6 separate regions of the Mus musculus genome follow, and all the other regions are reported to be linked to region 6. The links are microRNA targets in miRTarBase. Many come from high-throughput screens and were not tested one by one. Region 6 holds a microRNA gene; each other region holds the end of a gene's coding sequence.
The links. Region 6 holds the annotated microRNA mmu-miR-466h-5p (UGUGUGCAUGUGCUUGUGUGUA, at 2,142-2,163, opposite strand). A microRNA usually pairs through its seed, bases 2 to 8, with sites in the 3' UTR of a target mRNA and lowers its output. Matches are read on the target gene's strand: a 7mer-m8 pairs with bases 2 to 8, a 7mer-A1 pairs with bases 2 to 7 and ends in A, and an 8mer does both.

Region 1: miRTarBase lists Trim71 as a target of mmu-miR-466h-5p. Seed matches in the 3' UTR shown: 7mer-m8 at 2,594-2,600.
Region 2: the mRNA of Map3k7 is a reported target of mmu-miR-466h-5p. Seed matches in the 3' UTR shown: 7mer-A1 at 269-275.
Region 3: miRTarBase lists Ptpre as a target of mmu-miR-466h-5p. Seed matches in the 3' UTR shown: 8mer at 2,767-2,774, 8mer at 2,682-2,689 and 7mer-m8 at 1,125-1,131.
Region 4: miRTarBase lists Kcnj16 as a target of mmu-miR-466h-5p. Seed matches in the 3' UTR shown: 8mer at 1,498-1,505 and 7mer-A1 at 1,450-1,456.
Region 5: the mRNA of Nab1 is a reported target of mmu-miR-466h-5p. Seed matches in the 3' UTR shown: 7mer-A1 at 1,861-1,867.

The regions. Positions count from the first base shown.
Region 1 is chr9:114,509,318-114,513,409 of GRCm38, forward strand. It overlaps Trim71 (tripartite motif-containing 71), which reads right to left. Exons shown (of 4, transcript NM_001042503.2): 4 at 1,951-4,092. The coding sequence ends at 3,328. Among named protein-coding and RNA genes, the nearest start is that of Ccr4, 15 kb to the left of the region's middle.
Region 2 is chr4:32,018,923-32,023,014 of GRCm38, reverse strand. It overlaps Map3k7 (mitogen-activated protein kinase kinase kinase 7), which reads right to left. Exons shown (of 16, transcript NM_172688.3): 16 at 1-3,514. The coding sequence ends at 3,334. Among named protein-coding and RNA genes, the nearest start is that of Map3k7, 57 kb to the right of the region's middle.
Region 3 is chr7:135,682,992-135,687,083 of GRCm38, reverse strand. Ptpre (protein tyrosine phosphatase, receptor type, E) reads right to left here. Exons shown (of 21, transcript NM_011212.3): 21 at 790-3,852. The coding sequence ends at 3,778. Among named protein-coding and RNA genes, the nearest start is that of Mki67, 31 kb to the left of the region's middle.
Region 4 is chr11:111,024,932-111,029,023 of GRCm38, reverse strand. Kcnj16 (potassium inwardly-rectifying channel, subfamily J, member 16) reads right to left here. Exons shown (of 2, transcript NM_001252209.2): 2 at 1,056-4,092. The coding sequence ends at 3,251. Among named protein-coding and RNA genes, the nearest start is that of Kcnj16, 29 kb to the right of the region's middle.
Region 5 is chr1:52,455,447-52,459,538 of GRCm38, reverse strand. It overlaps Nab1 (Ngfi-A binding protein 1), which reads left to right. Exons shown (of 8, transcript NM_008667.3): 8 at 233-3,690. The coding sequence ends at 321. Among named protein-coding and RNA genes, the nearest start is that of Gm23460, 13 kb to the right of the region's middle.
Region 6 is chr2:10,512,972-10,517,063 of GRCm38, reverse strand. It overlaps Mir466h (microRNA 466h), which reads right to left and starts at 2,173; the gene lies at 2,093-2,173. The region is part of intron 10 of Sfmbt2 (Scm-like with four mbt domains 2); the gene reads right to left. Mir669m-2 (microRNA 669m-2) reads right to left here and starts at 3,630; the gene lies at 3,533-3,630. Mir466n (microRNA 466n) reads right to left here and starts at 3,323; the gene lies at 3,230-3,323. It also overlaps Mir669o, Mir466g, Mir297a-3 and Mir466l.

The sequences.
Region 1 (4,092 bases), not on the chromosome of region 6:
AACAGGGAAAACAAGCCTAGAACTTTGGCATTCCTTTTAATACCTACCAGAACACAGCAACCTTAGAATCTTCCAAACCCAAGAAGACACACAGACAAGACAGTAATTGTGCTGCTTCAAGCTTAAAAGACTTCCCAACTCAAATGATTAAGCTTTGGCTTAACTACACCGAGACACTCTGGACCATCCAAAGTGTCTTCATCCCGGCAGCCTCTATGGCCCAACACTGTCCAGTTCTGTTTAGGGTACCCTTGTGTGCTTCCCCAGGTAAGTTAGACTTAACAAGGGTATTGATTGGAGGAAGTTTAGTGCACTAGGGGAACAGCCTAGACTACTAGGCTCAAACCAAGATAAGGAGTTACCTGCCAGCCATAACGGAGTACAGGTTTGGAGACTTCTCATGAACAAAAGTGATAGATTGGTGATGACCTTCAGATGATTATAGTTTTGGAATGTTAGGCAGGTGGCAACCAGGTGGTTAATACTCAAACTTAAGAAACTTCACTTCCAATGGGAATCTCCTGGTACCCACCCTCACCAGCTCCTGCCAGCTCCTGCCAGTTCCTGCCAGCCCCTGCCACCTGACCAGGGACCGCTACCCGTCAGTCGCTCACCGCAGTGACAGAAGGTTTCCGGCCAGCCAGCACCCACGGTGTCTCCTTCCTGAATCTCTTTCCTGTCGTACCTCAGAACTGGCTGCAGGTGCTCACCAAACATGGCTGGTGTCATGATATGGATCAGTCCATATCAAGGTACACTCTCCAAAGTGCTTAGCACCAATTCCCCCACCGGCTAGGAGTCCAATCTCAGGCGGCCACAATAAGCCACTTGTTTTAAAAACAAAAGTTCTCCAACTATGATCACAATTCCTTAGAAGCCAGCCCTTACACTGATCTGGATATAGAAAGCCACAGACCTCTAAGAACACATCTGCTGTGCTCTAAGCCCACACTGGTCTATCCATGTACTGATCAAGACCCAACCACAAGATGGGAACCTGGGCCGAGTTATCAGATCCTAAGTAAAATGTCAAGTATTTTGTTAGTCACCAGAAAAAAAGTTCTCACTGAACAGTCAGTCAGTCAATATTCCTGCCACAGGAGAGCTGTGAGGAGGAACACTGAACATGACTTCAATTTAGCATTGAAAATCGGCTTTCCCCAGCCACAATTAAAATCAGGTTTCTGAGAAGGTTGTCAAGATTCATTTGTTCAATTAGTGTCATTAAGAATGTAAAGCTAGTTCTATTGAGTGTTTAAAGGCAGTTTAAGATTGGGGGGGGGGGGGAGCGGGGGGGGGGCGGGGTGAGGCCTCCTGGGTTGTCCTGTTCTACAAAATTTTTAAAAATCAGTTTAACGCTTAAGTGACATAATAAAGGCTAAAGGGATATATAAACTGGGGAAGGACCCACTATTAAATTTTAAAAGGAGCTTGTAACCCTCTTTCACATCCCGAGAAACATGGAGATCAGCAGTTGAAGCTACCTTCGGGATTCCTTGATTGTGTACTATTCTCCCTGCTGAGACGGCCCCCCGCCCCCCAGCACCCGCCGCCACACTCAGATCACCCCGAAATCCTGAAATTCAAGTCATGTGAATGTGAAGGAACGTCGTAGCTCACACAGGCAAACTGAGCATCCCAAAGCAATTCGACTGAGCCCTTATCCTGTCCCCACCGCCTCTTCCTCTGTGGAGTTCCTGCCGTGCAATGGGGGTCAGAAACTGGGTTTTAGATCTATGTTGGGCAGTCTTCTGTCCTCTTTCAAATCTGGTCTGAGCTCAGTAGTGAGAATACAGAGAACCAGAGAACCGGGATGGGCCCTCATTCTCAGAGGTGAATGTCAAGAAGGCCCACTCTGTGGCTTACAATACATCAGACTTCAATGGGATGGGAGCCACAGGCCCCCAAGTTTCTATTCTTTGGTACAGGTTTTTTTCTTTTTTTTTTTTCTTTTTTTAAATAAAATAAAATTAAAAAAAAAAAAAGACATATACTGTGTCCTACACTTCCTGTTGGGTGGTTTGGTTTGTAAATCCTTTACATTCAAAGGCCTTTGGGGGAGGAACGGGGCTTTGTGTTAACCTTGAGGTCTGCCTCCACTCAGACTTAGGGAAGGTTCCTGAGAAACAGACCTGAGCCAAGGGTTAGGGAGTGAGGTGCTCCCACCAGTCAGACAATCTTCTACATTCCCTGAACTTCCAAAGCAGGAAAAAACATTGTGCTTCTCAAATCAAAGCTATCCCTTTGCCTACCACACCCTCACACATAGAGACGAGGTCCCCCGCCCTCCTGAACAGTCCCTGATGTGGGGGTGCCTCACTTCTCCAGCACCCCCCACTTCTGTGGCACCCTGGTCCACATCTGAAAAGCCCCTCTCTCTCTGAGAACAAGGTTAACTTATTTTCTTATACCTAAGTCTTTATAACAAACAACAAAAACACAGACACGTAACCTTTGCGAACACTTTCAACCTAGAGTCCTGAGCTAAATCGAGTTTCTTAGCAAACTGGGAAGAAATTTGCTTGGGATGTCTTGTGTCAAGTCCAGCTTTTCTCCTCAAGCAAAGATGGCTTTGAAACACAAACATGCACGCGTGTGCACACACACACTCCCACACACCCACCCTTCTTTACCAGATACAAAGATGAGACACCCGAAAATATGAATGGTCTGCTTTTCTAGGCTAGCAAGCCACAGCCATATCTCCTAGGGATGAGATGTCAGACACACTGAGGTAAACAGAGAAAAGCCCTGTTGCATCGATAAAAAAGAAAAGAGCAAACCACACACAACCTAACCCCACATAAACACAGTATTCTCAAGAACACAAATACACTACAATTATGAATTTTAAATCCTATCTTTCCAACATCTTATACTTCTCTTTTTTACTTAGTAGTTTTTGGGTTTCCTTGGCTCAATCTACAAAATGCATGCACCCCACCATATGCTTCCAGTGCCCTCAAGGTTGCAGGACCGCTGTCCTGTGCCTCCTAGGCCTTCAGGAGGGAAGAGGATGTGAGCCAAGAGGCTTGCCAGAGAGGGAAATGCAAAGAGTTGAGGTAGATAGAAATTATCACTTCACAGGCTCAAGCCCTGCACAGAGGAGAATTACATTCATCTGTAAAAAAAAAAAAAAAAAAAAAATTTAAGCTGAGGTAGGACTTAGGCAATGTTGTACTTTTGTTCTTAAAAAAAAAAAAATAATAAAAATAAAGGGGGGGAAAAAGAAAAAGAAATATCCCTGAGACGATTTCTTCTTTGAAATTCAAAAATGAGAGACACACACATGCACACCCTAAACACAGAAAACCCCAGAAGACACAATTAGAAGATGAGGATTCGATTGTTGCCAAAGTCCACCACGACGATCAATCCATCCGGGGTGACCGCGATACCTGAGGGGCGGTCCATCTGCCCGAAGCCACTCCCTTGAGCACCAAACTTGCACAGGAAGCTGCCATTGGCCTCAAACATCTGCACGCGGTGATTTCTGGAATCGGCTACGATGATTCTCCCTTCCTGGTCCACAGCCACACCCTGTGGTCGCAGGAACTGCCCATTGCCCGAGCCCTCCGAACCCAAGAAGCGGGCAGATTGGCAATCAGGGTGAATAACCAGAAGCCGGTGGTTGTTGAAGTCGGTGACTACCAGGTGACCTTCATTGTTGAAAGCCACGCCCCGTGGAGAGTCGAAGTGCTTCCAGAGAGATCCCTCGAAGCCGTACTTGTTCAGGAAGACCCCGTCCGGTCCGAACAACTGGATGCGATGATTCCGGGTGTCTGAAACGAGGATCTTGCCCTCAGAATTCACTGCTACATCCCACGGGTAGTTAAACTGCCCGTTCTTGGTGCCTTTCTCACCAAACTTAAGAAGGAACTGGCCCTCGAAGGTGAAGATCTGAATGCGATGATTGTCTTTGTCGGCCACTATGATCCTGCGGGAGGCGTCACAAGCCACCCCAGCCGGTCGGTCAAACTGCCCAGGACGAGACCCAAGGGTACCAAACTTGTGGTGGAAGGAACCACAGGGCTTAAACACCTGGATTCTGTTATTGCTTCGGTCAGCCACTATGATGAAACCCTCCTTATC
Region 2 (4,092 bases), not on the chromosome of region 6:
CATGAACTTGTCATTAGTAACAGTAGCTTATCAATACTGAAGCAACGAGGAAACTAATGGATAGATAGTAAAAATATGTGGTTATCTATAAGCGGGGGGGGGGGTTACTTGATATAAAAGCAAAATGGTTACTGTAGCTTAGAAAAAACATTAAGAAGTTTGCAATGATAAGTCAGTCACTTTTATGCTGTACTCCATAAAAATGAAGGCCCATGAAAAAATAAAGAGGACTTTTTTTTTCTCACGTGTGTGTGTGTGTGTGTGTGTGTGTGTGCGCGCGCGCACGCTCGTCTGAGTATATATGCACCATGTGCTTACAAGAACCATCAGGAACATAAGGAGTCAGACCACCCCGGAACTGGAGTTGCAGAGAGTTGGGAGTCTCCATGCGGGTGCTGGGAACAGAACCCTAGTCCTCCACATGAGTGCTCTTAACTGCTAAGCCGACTCTCAGTCCGATGATTCAGTCTCTGGCATGACTATGGTACACTGTACTGAGTATGCTAGGAAACTGGTGATTCAGCTATTGGTCTGCATGAGGTAAATACCACTGGGCAAACCCACAGCTCAGTCGTCGTGTAGAGAAGCCAGCTACCATTCCTACATACCAGCCTGAAATAACAATCTGAATTTTATTAAAGACAAAAATAAATCAAAAAAGCCTCCTTCAGTTACAGAGTATGCACAAGAATTTCTGCATTATATCATCTTACAAGAAATACCTGGACAGGAATAAAAGTAGATAGCTTTACTAGCTTGTGAATAGAGGAGTTGACTACACACACACACACACACACACACACACACACACACACACACACACACACAGGGAAGGAGGGAGAAACAAAACCACCTGTAATCTCTGGCTGCAGGAGGAGGGGGCCTTGGGAGAATGACAGAAATTTGAAGGAAAAAGACATTCGCTATTCAAAAAATACTTCAACAAAAAATAGCCAACCACTTGTAAATAACTCTAAGCAGATGTTTTCAGTATGGCAGTATGGTGCTCTTAACTGACTTACTCAACCTAGAGCATGGCTTTACTGCTGAGGAGGACTTCACTCCACATTGCACAACCTTGCTTCCTTTCCTGGAAATGGAAACAAAATGCCACTAGTGTCTGTGCAGGACTGTCTGGTTCTTGGACATCAATGTATAAACCTGTCTGCCTGTTTTCTACTTCACCCAAGAAGTGAGGCTTGAATAAATTGTAGAACAGGAATTAGTGACCATCTGGCTCCTTGGTATGTTGTTATTTGAAGGTTTTACAGGTTGAGACATTGAGCAAACTGGTATGGATTTCAAGTATGGATGGTGTGCTCACGTTCAGCGATAGTGGAGCTTTAAAAATGCATGTGAGTGTGCCAGTGCACCTACTTAAGGCTGTCCAGGACCACAGTGTCGGAAACCCCAAGGAGCTGAGCATACACAAGCAACCGAGTAACAATCTTTCAACACTGGTACCATGAGCAAATCCAGTGTTTTCTTCCATTTGCTTGTTTGAATACTTTCAAGTGACCAGGACAACAAAATTTCCTTTTAGTTGTAGGATGCAGACCTTGCAAAACAACTGGCTAGAAATGAGCTTGCATCCATGTAATGTGGAATCTCCTGGGAAGTCAAGATGCTTTCAGCATGCTGCACAGCAGAGACCATGGCTCTCCTGTGGAGTGCCAGATGTCTGCACAGGCAGCAGTGGCAGGCGGTGTTGGTCTTGGACTCAGACTACAGCTATCTTCTGTGTCAGTTTTATGTCACTACTAACGCTGAGCTCGGCACTCATGTCACCTAATAGAGTTTGAGGCTATCTATAATCTTTTTTATTTAAGTGAAAGAAGACATTTAGCTCCCAGGAGCTTTCTACTAACAGGTTTTGAGGAAGGCACATCTTGCTATAAACTCTCCCTTACCTTCACTGTATACAGAAGGGATTCATTATAAAACTCAGAGAGGAAAAAAATAACAGGAAAAAGGTTATCTGTCTTAGCCTTAAAGAACACCTTCGCTAGCTTCTCGTGCTCATCTGGAACAGAGCAGGAACATGCGAGATGTACATCTAAGTACCACAGCGATCATCTTTCCATTCCAAATGTTCTCTTTACAAACATGAACACTATAAAAGCGAAGCTGATGGCATCTAATTTAAAAGACATTCATGCACTGGTATCAAAATGTGTTAACATGGACTGAAAAAATAGATCTTAGGGATTTATTTTTTTAATGGCATTTTATTATTACCTTTAAGTTATTTTGAAGGTTGGTAGTAAACTTATTGTTAACAATATAAATATTCTCTTTGTAAGTGTTCAAATTCTCTTAAAAGCATGGGAAGGCAACAGACTCAGGAAAGGACTTCAGAGGAATCAAGTCCTCTGAGTAGCTACGAAAGTGGGTTTAATTTTCCTCCTTTGCCTTCCTTACTCGGGCCTCCTGATTAGCCTGCTGTGTTCCTTATTTGGTATAACAGACCGATAGCTCAGCTCAAGCCTCCTTTAGCTGGGCCAATGATTTGTGTCTCTATTATTTTTCAATTTTCTTCAAATATATCATAAAACAACTCAGTAATGGTTACAAGAAGGATCATTTAAGCTACATCATCATCTTTCAATTTCATCTGCTACTAATATTAAAAGTCAGAAAGGCTTCTGTTTTCACACAGAATTGAAAATCCATAGGGTGTAAAAAGAGCATGTCATTCATATTTCACAGACGATGCTCAACCTCACGAAAGTCAGTAAACTTGCTCTCCTTAAGCACAGCTGCCACCACTCACCTTTAATAGTAACAGGTGGGACTACAGTTAGTATTGATCCAGGATGTGTTGGCACAAACCCTGTCTTTGAACTCAGCCTCAACATTCTGTCCCTCTGTAATGTACCACAAGTTATTTTAATACCCTGTCTTTACATTGGAGCATACCATCTACTGGGAAAAAAATCAGATTTTTGAGATGAGCACTTTGAAGAAAATTCTTGAGGTCCCACCTTTTACTACAGAGAAAGGATGATGCCTGCACACAGTAGCCAGTGTGCTACCCCCTCCTGTTAGGTAGCTCACTCCAGGAGCATGCACATACAGCCAGGTTCACTTCATGTGCTCTGAAGCTGAGCACGCTCGCCTTCCCAAGCCACAGGTGCCATCATCTGCTGCAACACGACAGTGGATTTTATATCCACCATAAGAAGAAAGGTAACTGACATAACAAATGCAGCAAAGAGAGGCATTTGGCATTCAGAACACGCCAAAAAGCTAACACTCATGAACTGTTATAATGGTTTGTCTTCTCTTAAAAAAAGGTCTTTGCATATTTTAAAACGTAACGGTCCCAGAGAATCATGAAGTGCCTTGTCGTTTCTGCTGTTGGCTTCTGATGACCTCTAGTTGTTTTTTGCATTGCTGGTAATAAGTAGAAAGGCTTTTGTTTTCATCTAAAAGCTTTTTATGTTCCTGTACCAGACGAGATGTATTTTGCTGGTCCTTTTCATCCTGGTCCAATTCTGCAACTAGTTCTTGCCTATAAACAAATTACACAACAGACATTACACCCGATGGGAAGATGCACACCGGTAGCTGATGAAGGAAACTCAGCTAATTAGAACCTTTCTCCCTATCATTCTGCAGCTTAAGTATATTACTCCAATATGGTCCTAGGACAGAATAGAAACCTCCCACTCATCTATTGTAAACCCACAAGACAGCCCTTCATTAAGTACTTAAGCAATCAGTAAATCAGAGAAACACTGCACTAAGTTTCAGGAAATTTCATGTGGTGCCCTCCTTTCTTGGTAGGAAGAAAAGGAGGCTCAGTTCCAGAGACAGCACTGTGTCACAGTTCCTACTTCACAGCTATACGCCAAGGTCCTCCCATCCTTACTCTGCAGTCACAGGGCTACCTAACTGCAGCTCTAATGGAACAGCAGAAACAGTATTTGTAAAGATTTTTGGGAGACCCTCATTCTTACAGGCAGGTAAGCTTCAAGTTCCTTTACTTTGAGGACATTAAATGTTAGCCCTAAAGTGAGAGTACTGGGTGTAAATAAACAATAACGTCTTATCAAAAGGAACTTCTCAATAGTTACCATTTAAAGTAAG
Region 3 (4,092 bases), not on the chromosome of region 6:
AGGCCAGGACTCAGACAAAGATTCCACCTCAGTCATTCCGGGCTCTTCATCACAGCTAATTTCTCAGCTTTCCAGGCTTGGTCCTCCCTGGACCCTGACAGAACATGAACTCTTTGAACTGGTAGTCAAAGTCTGTGCCTCTTGTATGATACCTGCCTACCATAGACCATTAAGACCTAATGCCTCTTTGGCTCCAGCGCTCACCTCCCCTTAGAAGCTGTTTCTGGGCCAAGTCAGACCTACATTTTATTTTATTTATTTATTTATTGTTTTTTGTTTTTGTTTTTCCCCGAGACAGGTTTTCTCTGTTTAGCCCTGGCTGTCTTGAACCTCACTTTGTAGACCAGGCTGGCCTTGAACTCAGAAATCCGCCTGCCTCTGCCTCCCAAGTGCTGGGATTAAAGGCGTGCGCCACCACCGCCCGGCTCAGACCTACATTTTAAAGACCTCCAGTGGGACTGGAATAGTTTGTTTGGTAAAGTGTTTGGCTTGTGAGCATGAGGACCAAGTTCAGTCTCCCAAATCCTCATAAAGAAAATGGGAATAGTGTCACACTTCTGTAATCCTAGCACTGGGGAGTTCAGATAAGAAAATCTCTGGTGCTCACTGGCTGGCCAGCCTTGCCCAGTTGGTCAGCTGCGGACCAGTGAAAATCCCTTTCTTAAAGAGGGTGGGCAGTATTCCTAAAGCTGACACTCACCATTGTCCTATGGCCTCCACATGTTTCTGTGCACACACACACACACACACACACACACACACACTTAAATGGGAAGACAGAAGCACAGGTACAGGCTGGTAGTCAGAGATTTATTCTCGAATCCGGATGTTTTCAATCTTGCAGTTCACATGTCTCAAGAATTCAGCGACATACACTGGCATAATCAGAGCAAGATCAAACGATAAATGTGATCAAGGAATAATATATGAGAGTTGGAACCATAACACATACACATATTATAAAGATTGCACATAAATTAAACATGACTTGGTTACAAACAAAAATATATCAGTAAATATACATGAAAAACAAAAACCAACAACGTGGCCAAATGCTGAAACACAGGTATCAGGCTCATTTAAAAAGGTTTTAAAAACACATAAAACTACCTTGGAAAACACAGGTGTGCATTCCTCGTTCATCCAGCCCATGGAGAGAGAGTAAAGCAAGTCACACAGTGACCAAGAGACGCACCTGATCAGAACGCTCAGCTCTGATGACTGTTTGGCGTTGAGCACAACCGCATGCAACAGAGAACTAAGAAGGTTGTCGGTGTCATAAACACCGGAGCTTCTTTGAAGGAAGAAGAAAAGGACATGCCAGGTACACAGAGAAGATGCTGAGACCGCCCTCCTCCCCCTAGGAGACCCCTTGTACACAGAGGCTCTGTGTCTTACGGAGGCTGAATTTTGCTATGGCATTAGTCAAGAGACTAGAGGGATTGGCCCCTCCAAAGTACAAGTGCTGCCCCAACTGTGCCCACAGGAGCGTGGCTTCTGTTTTTCTCTGGAATGAGACAAGCTGTTTAGAAACAGGCAGGGTCTCTGCCTGCAGGAGAACCTGGGGCAGCCCCAAGGTGAGGAAAAACACTCATTAGAATACTTTTCTAGACATCCTGAAAAGATCTACCCTAAGGCATTTCTTGATACAAGAGATGCCTGGGATTCTAAGGACCAGTAACTAAGTTGGGGTGCCAAGGTGCGTGGCCGAACTTTGGCTTGGGACCCATGTGAGGTCACCTTAATTCTAGTGGGCTTACTGCCCTCTGTCCCGCTTCAGTTACAGCAAGGCGTTGAGCTTGGGTCTAAGATGGAGACAAATGAGACCACTGGCCAGGGAAAGCTCCTCCATCTTCCATCTTCTGCCTGTGCTCCAAGGCTGCTCAGAGAAGGGGAGCTCCCACAAAGCACAGGCAGCCAGCCCTGCCTGCAGCTGGTGGTGGTGGTGACAGTGGCCACTGTCTGCTTTCATCCTGCATGCTGAGTGCCAGCTTGTGCCTCTGGATGGGACACTCAGAGCTGCGGGGCTTGAGATAAGCGTGGTGACCCGTTCACCTGTATGAAGCAGTGACAGACCCTGGGGTTGTCCCTTGTACACGAACAAGAACAAACTGTGCAATAGGCGAGCATGATCAGTCCTCCATGGAGATAAGGCCTTTGTATTTTCATTTCTCTTTTAAAAAGTTTAAAAAAAAAGTTCCCAAACTGTGTTCAAAGCCTTCAATGAGTTAGACCAGATGTCTTTTTTTTTTTTTTTTTACATTGTGCTCATTTGCTAGGTATCTAAATGCCATAGGAAGATAATTTTTATTGAAGTCAATGTTTCTACATTCCTCCTCCTCCTCTCCCTCCTCCTAACCTACCCTCTCAGGCAGTGCGCCTGTCACTGCCACCTGAACTCAGAGGTCTCAGCAGCCTTTCCTCCAAAGGTAAGTTAGATTAGGATCTTCCCCCCCTCTCATTTTTAAAAATTAAACACCAAGAGGTGGGACATTTAAGAAAAAAACTGTACAAATCTAGATTTTTAAGAATTCCTTTCTTACAAACCATCTTAACTTTTTACAAAGAAAATCTGACATCCTGAAATGGCTATCAGCAAATTGACAGTGCAACAGTTTGTGGCCATTCTACCGTGTGTGTGTGTGTGTGTGTGTGTGTGTGTGTGTGTGTGTGTGTGTGTGTGTGTGCAGCTGTGGTTGAGTATCAGCAAATTGACAGTGCAACAGTTTGTGGCCATTCTACCGTGTGTGTGTGTGTGTGTGTGTGTGTGTGCAGCTGTGGTTGAGCCTGTAGGCCCAATTAGGGTCAGTACAGGCAGCTGTGTCAGTGGGCGGGCCGTTGGGAATGAGCTTGAGTGGATTCTGAGCCAGGCACACAGGCAGGCAGCAAGTGGTTCCAGGAACACAGCTCAGATGGCTAGTTTGGAGGGTACTGGAGGCCTGTGAGAATAGATGGCCTGGTATAACACATCTCTTTATCAAGCCTACAGTGGCACTACACAGCCTCTCATGAATGCCTTTTAAAACTCATAGGAAAGTCACCACCATCTACACCTTGTACATCTGAGACCTGGATTTGGGTTTCAAAACCCTCTGGGTGTTTGTTGTTTGTTGTGTTACAGAGTCTCACTGTAGCCCAAGCTGGCCTGGCCTGACCTGGACCAAATCCTTATGCCCCAGCCTCCCACGTGCTAGCAGTGCAGTGATGCACTGCCGTGTCTGCTTCCACTCTGATCTTTCAAATGCAAGGATGGACCACATGGCTGAGACCCAGGACTCTACCAAAGCCCCCATGCACACTGTTTGCCACATTCCGATGCCCTGGGTGCGACAGTTGGTGGGGAGAGTAAATGTGCTCTGACTCGGAGTCCTCTACTGGTTTCTCCACAGGGGGTTTCAGGGGTTAGTGTCTTCTCACAAACACATTTGACATGTTAAGAACTACATTTACAGATGCATGATGTGTGACACCATGTGACACCTGATGTGGGACACCACATAACATGAATCTAATAGAACTAAGATACTGACTGGTGTTAGCAGAAATATATATCTTTCCAGATAGTATTTGACCTTAACATGTTATTCCAATTTTTAAAAAGGGCATTTACAATTTAATAACCTTACAGCAGGTAGCCTTTAGAACATAACAAAATATATACAAAGGAATTAGGAAGGATATTAATATCCACTAGGAAATAAATTAACATGATCTCTTTTTTTTTTTTTACAAAATATACTGACCATTAAATTAAAAAATATTTTAAGGCAGGAATCTTCATTTGAAATTAGCATAATCAGAAAATATATCGATAAAATCTTGTACCACTTTGTAGCAGAATTCATATTGCTCCTGAAAAGAGAATGAGAGTATATTAGTAATATATTAATACTAAGCAGCTTCACACATACCTGATGCATGTAATCAGAAGATGAGCTAGAAGCCCAGTTGTCAGTCAGTCTGCTGATGCATCAAAGTCCGGGGCTCCCTCCCACACATCAGTTTCTGTTACACAGCGGGCCTTTTAGGCATGAGCCATGTTCTAAACCAAGCTGTTTGTCCATGCAGAAAACATCAATTTTTAGGTTCACA
Region 4 (4,092 bases), not on the chromosome of region 6:
TATGTAATTTCCACGGGGACCAGATACAGCAAATGTCATATACAAGTGCAAACTGGATTTAAGCTGTTCATCTTTTTCTTTTCTTTTCTAGCCTGTCTGTTTTCAAAGTCATTCCCTAGAGACATGATTTGCCCTGTGATGGTTAGACAGTGTTTATTTTTACTCTTGCATAAAGCTAGATCCAGCCGAGTAGTGACTACTGATAGCCGACAGCTACTGGAGTAGAGAGAGTCTGGGGTTTGTTTGTTTGTTTGTTTGTTTTATTTTCATGTCTCTGGTGGGTGGTCCCTATTCCAGTGGTAAATGGGCCCAATGGGTTAAAAAAGACAAGAGAGCATGAAGTCTGGAGAGGGTATGTCGGAGGGATCTGGAACAGAGGAAGAAATCGATAAATGAATGTGACCGAAGCACACGTATATCGTATGCACGGATGAATTTTTTTCAGACTACACAGACATTTGCACGTGGAGGTTATGGTCCCTCTGTCCCTCCATTCTGTCTCCAGGAGATGTGTTTCACTTATGACATGGCTGCAGAGCCAACAGCCGTCAAGTTTGAAGTTCATGAGGGAAAGGGGGTGACAAGGGAGAGTGAAGAGATGCATGCCTGCTAAATCTGCCTCTATAAAAGTGAAAGTCACACCGAGAGACTTGCACTGATAACAACATGACCCAGAATGCAGCTATTTAATACCATCTGTGACCCGAGCTCCCCTCCCACCAGAGGAAAGGGAAACTGAGGGGCACTGTTGCATGGTCTCACCTGAGCACACTGCTGCCCCAATTAGGAATTTGTTTGTGAGGGGAAAAAAACAAAACAAAACAATGAAGAGGACCTTTGTTAAATACCCACCTTACCATTTCATCATGGAGACTAAGTACATTTTGCACAAAGCCAGTCTGTGCTGTTCATAGAAGTGACTGTCTCTTTAGGTGTGGCTGCTCCACACACTGGTAAGAGCCCCATAACAGTGTCTCATGAATTATAGGAGGCACCATTTTCAGTTTGGGGAAGCAGAATCGACATTTACAGGGAGCAGAGGGATGTACACAGCATTTGCACCAGTCTAAGATCTTTATTAAGTAAGCCATCAGGCGTGTCAAAGCATGTTATAAATCTGCACAGAAGATGAGAGATGCATGGGACCACACGTTTCACTCTGTGTATGAACACACAGTGCACCAGAATCTGTTTAATCAGAGACCTGTGATCCCTGACCACCGCCACCCCATTCTGATCTTGTCATAGGAGGACAGAGCAAAGGAAGCCTGGTGCACTGGATTGTACCTGCCTTGAAGGAAAACAAATTTAAACTGGTGGAGAAAGCATGGTTAGAGCGATGTTTTCCAGCCTTGGAAAGGGTAATATTCTAATTTAGACAAGTAATTCCTGCTAAAAAATTCGAATTTTCTCTGTGTGTCTGTCTCACCCACCTCACCCCACCGTGTGTGTGTGCGTGTGTGTGTGTGTGTGTGTGTGTGTGTGTGTGTGTGTGTGTGTGTGCATGCCAGATGTGTGGGTGTATAAATACATGGCTCTATGGTTTAACTAATGGATTCTCCATTCCCAAGTATTGCAGGTTAAACATGATTTAGGTTTCAGATATTAAGAAGTCCAGGACAGTTTTTAACATGCCCCATGAACAGATAGATCTCTTATTTATATGACAGCAGGAACGAAAGATTTATCTACACATGTGCATTAGAAAAGTTACACTGTATTCTGTATTGATCCTGGGTAACAAGGGAGAGGTAAAGAAAGAAAGGGAGTGGGAGAAAAAAAATAACAGAAAAAAAGAAGAAAAAGAGACCCCTTAGAATATCTATTTATTTGACTTAGCTTGGAAGTCTTGAATTGTGTGATTCAGTTCAGTGTGCCTATGGGATTAAATTTAAGTGTGTGTGTGTGTGTGTGTGTGTGTGTGTGTGTGTGTGTGTGTGTGTGTGAGAGAGAGAGAGAGAGAGAGAGAGAGAATAAGAGGAAGAGAGAGAAAGAAGGCACCAAAAGAATCAAAATGTGTTTGTGCTTAAATTCAATACCAGCCATATAATGTCCTCCTTCCTAGCTCAGCAACAGTGGGAAAAAATTGCTCCAGTGATGCCAAGCCATGGCTAATAATTCCTCAGTTTATAAAGCTTACGGTCTCTGTGGCTGGGTTCGTGCTAAAAAGGAATCAGCAATTAACTTAATCCTTTAATGTGAAGACAGAGAATAAACATGCATCTCTTGTCCTAAAATTTAAGCAGCCCCATAATATTCAGTTTATTCCTCTTATTTACAATCAAATCAACATCATTGTTGACAAAAGTATTCAGACCTGCAACTCAGGTCACCATACATACTGTGATCCTCTGCCTTCAGGAAAGGTTCTATCTCTTTGAATTCTCCTCAACCCACACTGTAGCCTCTCAGGATCAGGAATCAAGAGCATCTAGCATCTCTTCTCCAAAGGTCTGAGGATGCACACAGCTGCTGCCCACTCCTGCATCCCACCTTGCCTCTTCACAAATGCTTGAGCACAGTGGGATTATGAGCACAGGAACCTTCTCCAGGGAGCACACAGAAAGGCCACCGCCTCCCTTCTGCTCCCCAGTGACTCGGTTGAACCAAGGTATTTAAGAGAGAAATACTAATTTACGTAATGATGTCCCTTTTCTTCTGTCACATGGTTGGTTCTGGCTTCCAGCATTCACTAATAACACTTTAGGCAAGCATCTCTGACTTGATAGCATTTTCACTTTCCTAAAGCCACACCTCTGTCTGCAAGATACTATGAGAGGCAAATGTGGTAAACTCAAACTTCACTTGGTTTTACTTTCTCATCTCAGTGTTTCTGAGCGGAGGCATATTTCACCTGCTGTGCTTAGGTGATACAATACGGTTATAAGTTCTCATTCCATAATTAATTTATTTTTATATGCAAATATTTAGCTTATCTGCTTCTCTATATTTATCTGGTTTAACAGCCTCTTTTTCCCCCACTCCTAAATATTTCACCTTCAAGAGGAGACACAGGTATATGCAATAATGAGATTAATTGTAATCAATTAAGCTTCATAATCACTTCCCTAATACAAACTCTACTGCCAAAGCCAAATTTTAATATTGTAAAATTGTGGATTTTTTAGATAATAATTCACCAAGTTTAACCTGCTCTGCTTTCTATTCCTGTCCCAAATCACAGAACTAACACTTTGTTAAAAATCATGCTTACAGCTTCTGGCCCTTAGATAAGGGTCGGAGAGGAGGGCTACATCTGGGATTCCATGGAGATCCTATTTAAAGTCAGGAGGGCTTTCTGATAGGGCATCTCCTTACATTCATCTTGTGGGGACAGGACGGTCTCCTCTGGGTTCTCACAGCTGCTCACCACGGCAACTGCGCTGAAGGACCGCCTCCTGGTGTTGGTGTCAGAATTGCAGGATCCTCGGGCAGGGGACGTTTTCTCCAAGTTGTTGAGTTGTTGGTCCTTCCAGTCCAGTTGTTTGGCACTGCAAAAGGGGGCGTAGACTTCCACGCTTCCTTCAAACTGCAAGCAGTTCACCTTGTAGTACTTTCTCTTCACTTCCAATACATCATGAAACCTGTGGCCCCAGAGAATTTCTCTGGGGATGTAGGAACTTCTGGACTGGTGGGATGTCCCAGTGGAATCACCAGTATAAATAAATGTCACCAGAATCTCGAAATTATCTTTGGCCACTGCCTTGCGGTCAAGGGCATACAGAGGGCTCTCATGGTCAATTTCATGGACAATAGTCACTGGAGTTACCAGGATTATCTGGTCATTGACGAGTTTGAGGTCTTTAAACGCCATCGTCATCCTCCCTTCACTGTCTTCTGAATAGCGCAGAAGTTGGGCTCTCACCGTGCCCTCTACCACATGGTTTGGTCGGAAGTCACCTATGCGCCACATGAGGCAAAGCTTCCCGTCTCTCATACCAATGAGGGCAAAATAGCTGAAGCGTATGGTCTGGGCTCTCTTCCGGGCAGTTGCCATCTTTGCCAAGGCTGCTCCAATGATGAAGGTGTTTATGATGCAGCTGAGGATGGACTGAAGGATCACTGTCAGTACAGCCACAGAGCACTCTTCGG
Region 5 (4,092 bases), not on the chromosome of region 6:
CCAAGTTGACCTGGAACTTGAAGTAGACCTCCTGCCTCAACGTCCCTGAGTCCTGGAAATACATCACTACCATGTTGCGATAACCCATGCTTTTAACAACTAAATAAAATTCCATCTGGAATTTCATAATTATGAATAGTTAATGTTTGCTAGGAAGTTTGGGGTTTAATAACTTGATGTTGTAGTCCACTGATTTCAAATTCCAAACTCTTTCTGGTTTTGTTTTATGTAGAGAGCCTTGGGATTCTAAAAGACTATCCTCACTCTGCATTCACCTTGGAAAAGAAAGTTATTAAAACAGAGCCTGAAGACTCAAGATAGCTGAGATGCTCCTACTGTTCTCTGGAAATGGCACCAGATTCAAGGATAATGCTCCATCATAGATTAAGCCTTAATAACCAGTGTTGCCTCATTCAGCTCACAGACCATAGCCAAAGCATAAGAACCCACACAGTAGTCTGTGGACATCAGGACAAAACAACAACCACAGAAGAGGGAATCAAGAGAGCATTGCAATGTAACAGACACTGACCACTTACCTTCCTGTGTAAGCTGCTTGTGTGGAAAGGCTCAATATTGTAGGCATTCACTATTTAAGAATGTACAACATGTCTTTGTAATTTATAGAAACAAGTCTAGGTGTTGATACCTTGTGGTCTAATAGATGTGGATACCATTCATTTTACTTGAAATTTTGTTGTCTACTTTAAGTGTATTTGCCATAAATGTTACTCGTCAGCAATTAGAACTTTTGCAATCATAGAAAGAAAGTCTGGGCAATGTAGTTATTGGCAAGGTGACTGGAGAAAGATGGAAGATAAATACACAATTTACACCAAGGAGAAGACTGTGTGTTTAATACTTGATAACATTGATTTTGATTAATAGGAAATATGTAGCTGTCGCTAAATAATGTCACCTTCATTGGTTTAATCAATGCACAAATTAAAAATTGGAGTAACATTCCCAAAATGAGGTAGGCTATATTTATGGCAGCTGCTTAAGATGTAACAAAGGTTGGACAGAGGACATGAAATAAATGGGTTATTGTGTAAAAGCCTTGACTTAAAAACATTGATATTTCAGAATATGTTAAACAAATTAAGGCATAGTAAGATAGCCCTAAATGTGATAAAGATGATGGATGATGTGGGTGAATGGACATGGAATGTGTGTCTTGTTTTCAGTTCTGCTTTAGATCATGCTGTTATAGATATGAGTTCCTAATCTGTTATACTGAAATCTGTTGGCCAGATGTTAGGTGAGATGTGTGCACCACCACAGGCTCTAAGCAGTCACATAGATAGTCACTTTTCAATTTGATCTGTAGAAGAGTTCTACAGTAGAAACACCAGTAAACAGCTTTACTACAACTACAAGGCTTTTCCCTTCCTAGATGATTCTATTGGACCATAGCACCTTGCCCACTAAAAACTATCTTAGGGACCATGTGCCTCTGTTTCTACCGTGAGGTTGATTATTGTGGTCTCACTGTCCACTGTGTGTAGAGCTAGTGTGATACCATTTAAATAGAATGTTCAGTTTTTAATATTAGCCACAGCACTGGATATTATCCCTATACTTTCATGAACCGTTTCCTGTGTTCCTTAATCTATTTTGAGAAATTTTGTGGTCCTTTTTCTTTTAAAAAAAAAAAAAAACAAAAACGAAAAACAAAAAAACTATGTCTTACAGTTCAAGTTCGTAGATTTTAACATTGCAAGTTATAAAAGATGCAGTAGTCTTCCAGCTGATATATATCTGTCTCTCCTGGACCTAGAACCTGCATTTTTAAATCCAGAAGAAAGTCTCCTTAAGTAGCATACTTTTCTGACTTCCAAGCTTAGAGATAGAGAAGAAGCACACACACACACACACACACACACACACACACACACACACACACACACAAATTTTCAGTAGAATACAATTTTTATCTTGTGAACACTAATGTATTAAACTTGCTATACATTAAAGCAAATAATATATATTTTTATTTGAATGGTATATATAAATTAGATGTTATAACTAGTGGGGTGTTCTTCATTTCATTTAAGATACTTCCACTGAACAAGGTCAATTGGTTACCTCAGTATTACAGCCAATATAACCCAAGGGACCATTTCTCCCTAAGTCTGTGTTATTCTTTATTGTGTGAATTCTGCATTTTTGTGATTCCTAAAACTGTTGAAGAGATGAGTGAACTTGCTTCCCGTGGCAATAAAGGATTTCTCTGCCTCACAAATCCTTGCTTAGAGTGCTTTGCATAGCACATGATGTTCGTCTATACTGCCTCCCTTACCGCATGTCGGGACAGGATGCGCTTCTCTTTTTTCCTGTGACACTGAGAGTTGAACCCAGAGGCTCTACCACTGATAGGCCCAGCACTCATGTTACTTTTTTATTCTGAGACAGGCTTCCTAACTTGCCGCAGCTGGCCTTGAACTCACTCTGTAGACCACACAGGTGGTGGTCACCTGGGGAGACCTTTCCTAGCCTGGGCTTCATACATTTCACTTTTGAAAGGGCAGAGTACTTCTGACTCAGCACCATGTTGTTTGTGACATTGATGCTGCTCTGAATCTTCAAAAGAAAACCAACCAGGTTGTCAACCCAATGAGAGCAGGAGCCCTGGTAGATTCAAGAGATTACAACAGCAAATATTTGATGAAAGCCCTCTTCTGACCCAGCGCTGTGCAAGGGTTGGTTCTGGGGATCCAAGAACGTGTATTTGCTGTTATCTCTGGGCGTTCTCATGAATGACATTCTCCAGTGGCCTTCAAGTTAACAAAGGATGACTCAGTGTCCACTGTTATTGAAAACACACATTGATGACAACTGTTTCCATAGCAACCGTGCAAGACAAACATTCCCGACACCTAAGAGATCAGAAGCCGACACTGTGATAATGCTTTCAATTCTGAATGTGTGGTGGCTAAATCGTCCAGGTCACCCCTGGATTCTGCTTTGGCTGACTTACGGAAATGAAGAAAACAATCACTTGTTCTTGTGCAGAAAATATGAAATCATAATTTAAGTTCATAATTCTTTTAAATTAGTCTTATGTTCTACTTACACATATTTTTCTGTCTATTTTTTTTACCATAGCTTTAGAAAGAATGATAAATAATAGCTGGTTTTGTTATAAATTCATTAGAACTCCTTCCTTCTTTCATATTTTCATAGCTGCTAGGCCACACGATTCTTGAGCACTACAGTATTCTTTTGAATTCTGGTCTCTTGGCAGTGCCTGATTCTTTGGTCATAATTTCTAAGACTGTTCTTTTGACTGCTCCATTTATGTCCAGATCTCACTTGTAAGACATAAAAGGGCTCATTTCTGCCAGTTCACCCTCAACCAAAGGAAAAGTTTAATATTGTTGTAGTGATTTAATATGATGTCTAGAACAGAAGCATTTAAAAATAACTCACCAAGCACTAAACTCGATTTTTTAGCATTCACATGACATGCTACTTACCATTAGCTTTCTCTTTTTATTTTTAAAATATTTCATTGATTTTCTATTTTTAAAGTAGTTAATTGGGCCAGTGTGATGATGCCCACTTTTAATTAGTCCTTGAAGGTTGAGGTGGGGCAACTGTAGTTTGAGTTTGGCCTACACAGGAAGACTCAGTTGCAAAAGGAAAAGACATTAATTGGTAAATAAAAATGGTACATATTCAAGTGTATAACATGGGTTATCTACCTGTTTTGAAAATGTGTTCATTGTGTGTGCATGACATGTTTAACACATGCTGTGGCATACATGTGGGGCAGAGGGTAGCTTGGTGGAGCTGGCTCAGAATTGAAACAAGATACTAGGTTTGTGAGCACTGATTATTTAATTTCTGTACACCGTGCATCCTGATTGCCACAGGCAAATTAAGACACCTCAGTGGGAAAGTGGATTCTGGCTGTGCTTGACTGCCACTTACCATTCTTCAGTTTGCTTACCTTTGCTAAACTCTCAGTAGAGTGTTTTAAATTCTACACAGCATCACAAGACAAAGATGTGCACTGTTAGAAACTGGGAAAAACATAAATTCTACTTTATGTTCCAGAATTTTAATCCACTTTTTATGATTCTACAG
Region 6 (4,092 bases):
CATACACTGGGGGGGGGGGGCGCCATCACATGAATCTGAAGCTGATCCCTACCTAATCATGAATTTGAGAATGAATTTCCACTCCTGATCCTCCTGACTCTGGCAAGCATTTTCACCTTGTGAGTGAGAGCACCCACTGATCCAGCCCTGCATAATCTCTCAAACTCTAAGTCACATACCTTTAAGGCCTGACTCTGGCAAGCACTTTGACCTGTTGAGTAAGAGCATGCACGGGCACAGTACTGCATAATCTTTAAAACTCTTAGTCACATATTATGCAAGTAGATGAATGCAAGTCACCATGTGTTTGTGTGTGTGTTGCATGTGTGTGTGTGTCTGCACATGCATATCCATATACATTCATGAACATGCACACACATGTAAGCACACGTGCACATACATGGGTGGCATCAAATGAATACCAGGATGATCTCTAAATGGAGTTTGAACTCCTGATCCTCCTGACTTTGTCAATCATTTACACCTGGTGATTGAGACCATTCACTGTCCCTCTACTGCATAATCTCTAAAACTCTAAGTCATATATCATTCAAATGGATCGATGAGTACCATTCCTATGTTTGTGTGTTTCTGTGCTTGCATTTATACATGTGTGGATGTTATATATATTCATATACACACATGCACACACAACTATACACACGTTCACATGCATGGGGGGAATCACATAAATCACAGGCTGATCTCTAAGTCCTCATGAGTGTAAGCATGCATTTAAGCTCCTGATAGACCTGACTCTGGCAGTTGTCTACACCTGATGAGTGAGAACACTCACTGTCCCCGTACTGCATAATCTCTCACCTCTAAGTCACATGTTATTCAAATGGATCTAAGAGTGCCATTAATGTGTGCGTGTGCATGCATGAATATGTGTGCATGTATTTATATGTATATCAATATATATATACATGTACATGTACACACAAACACACATGCACATACATAGGGGTCATCACATGAATGCCAGGTTGATCTCTACCTCATCATGCAGTGAACATGAATTTGCACTCCTGATCATCCTGGCTCTGGCAAGGGGCGTCACCTGGTGAGTGAGACCTCTCTGTGGCCCAGTCATACAGAATCTCTAAGACTCACATATCATTGAAATGGATCGATGAGTGTCAATTTTCTGTGTGTTTGTGTGCATGTTTGTATGGGTATGTGTGTATGTATATGTATATTCATATACACACATGCACATGCACACATACATATACACACAGGCACATACACTGGGGGCATCACTAGAATCCGAAGCTGATCCTGGACTCATGAATTTGAGAATGAATTTCCACTCCTGATCCTCCTGACTCTGGCAAGCATTTTCACCTTGTGAGTGAGAGCACCCACTGATCCAGCCCTGCATAATCTCTAAAACTTTAAGTCACATGTCATTTAAAAGTATCAATGAGTGCCATTCGGGGTATGTGTGTGTGTGTGTGTGTGTGTGTGTGTATGTGTGTGTGTGTGTGTGTGTGTGTGTGTGTGTGCCTGTGTGTATGTGTTTGTGTGTATTTATATGTATATTCATATGCACACATACATTAGCACACAAAACTATGCAACATGAACATACACTGGGAAGGAACCCATAAAGCCAGGCTGATCTCTAAGCCATTTTGAAGTTATTCATAAATTTGAACTCCTAATCCTTCTGAATATGGGAAGCTTTTTCACATTGTGAGTAAAAAGTTTCATTAGCCCAATACTACATAATCTTTAAAGCTCTATGTCACACATCATTCAAATGTATCAATGAATGCCATTCCATGTTTGTGTGCTTGCATTTACATGTATGTTTATGGTATGTATATTTATATACACACATGTGCATACACAGGGACGTAAACACACATGCACATACACGGGTGGCATCACATGAATACCAGGATGATGTCCAGCTGAAGTTAAGCATGAATTTGAACTCCCGACCCTGCTCAATCTGTAATATGTTTGCACATGGCGAGTGAGACCGTTCACTGTCCCACTACTGCATAATCTCTAAAAGAATAAGTCACATAGCATTCAAATTAATGGATGAATTCAATTCCTCTGTGTGTGAGAGTGTATGTGCTTGCATTTGTGTGTGTGTGTGCGTGCGTATGATATATATATTCACATACACACAAGCACATGCACACACAAATATACACACATGGACATACATGGCTGAGAATCACATGAATCACAGGCTGATCTTAAAATCATCATGAAGTTAAGCATGAATTTGAACTCCTAAAACTCCTGATTCCAGCATACATTTTGACCTGGAGAGTGAGATCACGCACTGTCCCAGAACTGCATAATCTCTAAAACTCTAAGTGACATATCATTCAAATGGATCGATGAGTGTCATTTGTGTGTGTGTGTGTGTGCCGCATGTGTGTGCATGTGTCTGTATATGCAAAATCATATACATACATCCACATGCACACACACGAAAACACACATCGACATAAATGGGTGGCATCACATGAATGATCTATAACTGAAGTTAAGCATGAATTTGAAATCCTGATTAACCTGACTCTGTCAATCATTTACACCTGGTGAGTGAAACCATTCACTGTCCCCTATTGCATAATCTCTAAAACTCTTAAGTCAGTTATCATTCAAATGGATTGATGAGTGTCATTCTTGTGTCTGTGTGTGTGTGCTTGTGTTTATACGTGTGTGTGTATGTTATGTATATTCAAATACACACATAAACATGCACACACAACTATACACACATGCACATGCATGGAGGAATCACAGGCTGATCTCTCATGAGGATAAGTATGAATTTGAACTCGGGATACTCTTAACTCTAGCAAGGATTTTCACCTAGAGAATGAGAGCACTCACTGGCCAAGTACTGCATAATCTCTAATATGCTAAGTGACATATCATTCAAATGGATCAATGAGTGGCATTCGTGTGTGTGTGTGTGCTGCATGTGTCTGTACATGTATACTCATATATATACATTCACATGCACACACCTGTAAACACACATGCACATACACGGGTGGCATCACATGAATACCAGGATGATGTCCAGCTGAAGTTAAGCATGAATTTGAACTCCTGATCTTCTTGAATCTGCAAATTGTTTACACATGATGAGTGCGACCATTCATTACCCACTACTACATAATCTATAAGACTGTAAATCACATATCCTCTGTGTGTGTGTGTGTGTGTGTGCACGCACGCGCATGCAAGCGCACATGCACGTGTGTCTATGTATGCTCTCATGTATATGCATATTCATATACACACATGTACATGTACGCACACACAAACACACATGCACATACACAGGAGCCATCACATGAATGCCAGGCTGATCTCCAACTCATCATGCAACCAACATGAATTTACACTCTTGATCATCCTGAATCTGGCAAGGGTCTTTACCTTGTGAGTGAGAGCATTCATTGGCCCAGCACGGCATACTCTCTAAAACTCACATGTCACATGTCACATGTCACTCAAAATGATCTATGGGTGCCATTTCTGTGTGTGTGTATATCTGTGCATGCTTGTATATGTTTGTGTGGATGTATATGTATATTCATATACACACATGCACATGCACACAAAACTATACACACATGCAAATATATTGTGGGGAACCCCATAAAATCAGGCTGATCTCTACTCTCTTTTGAATTTATTTATGAATATGAATTCCTGACCCCTCTGAATATGGCAAGCTTTTACATAGTGAGAAAAACTTTCATTTGACCAGTACTACATAACCTTTAAAGCTCAAAATCACATATCATTCAAACATATCAATGAATTCCATTCCTTGTGTGTATGTGTGCATACGTGTGTCCATATACATGTATGTTTATGTTATATATATATATATATATATATATATATATATATATATATGTATATATATATATATATATATATATTCATTTACACAGATGTACACGCACACACATGTAAACACACATGCACATACATGGGTGGCATCACAGGAATACCAGGATAATCTCTAACTGAAGTTAATCATGAATTTGAAATCCTGATTCTCCAGACTTTGTCAATCATTTACAGCTGGTGACTGAG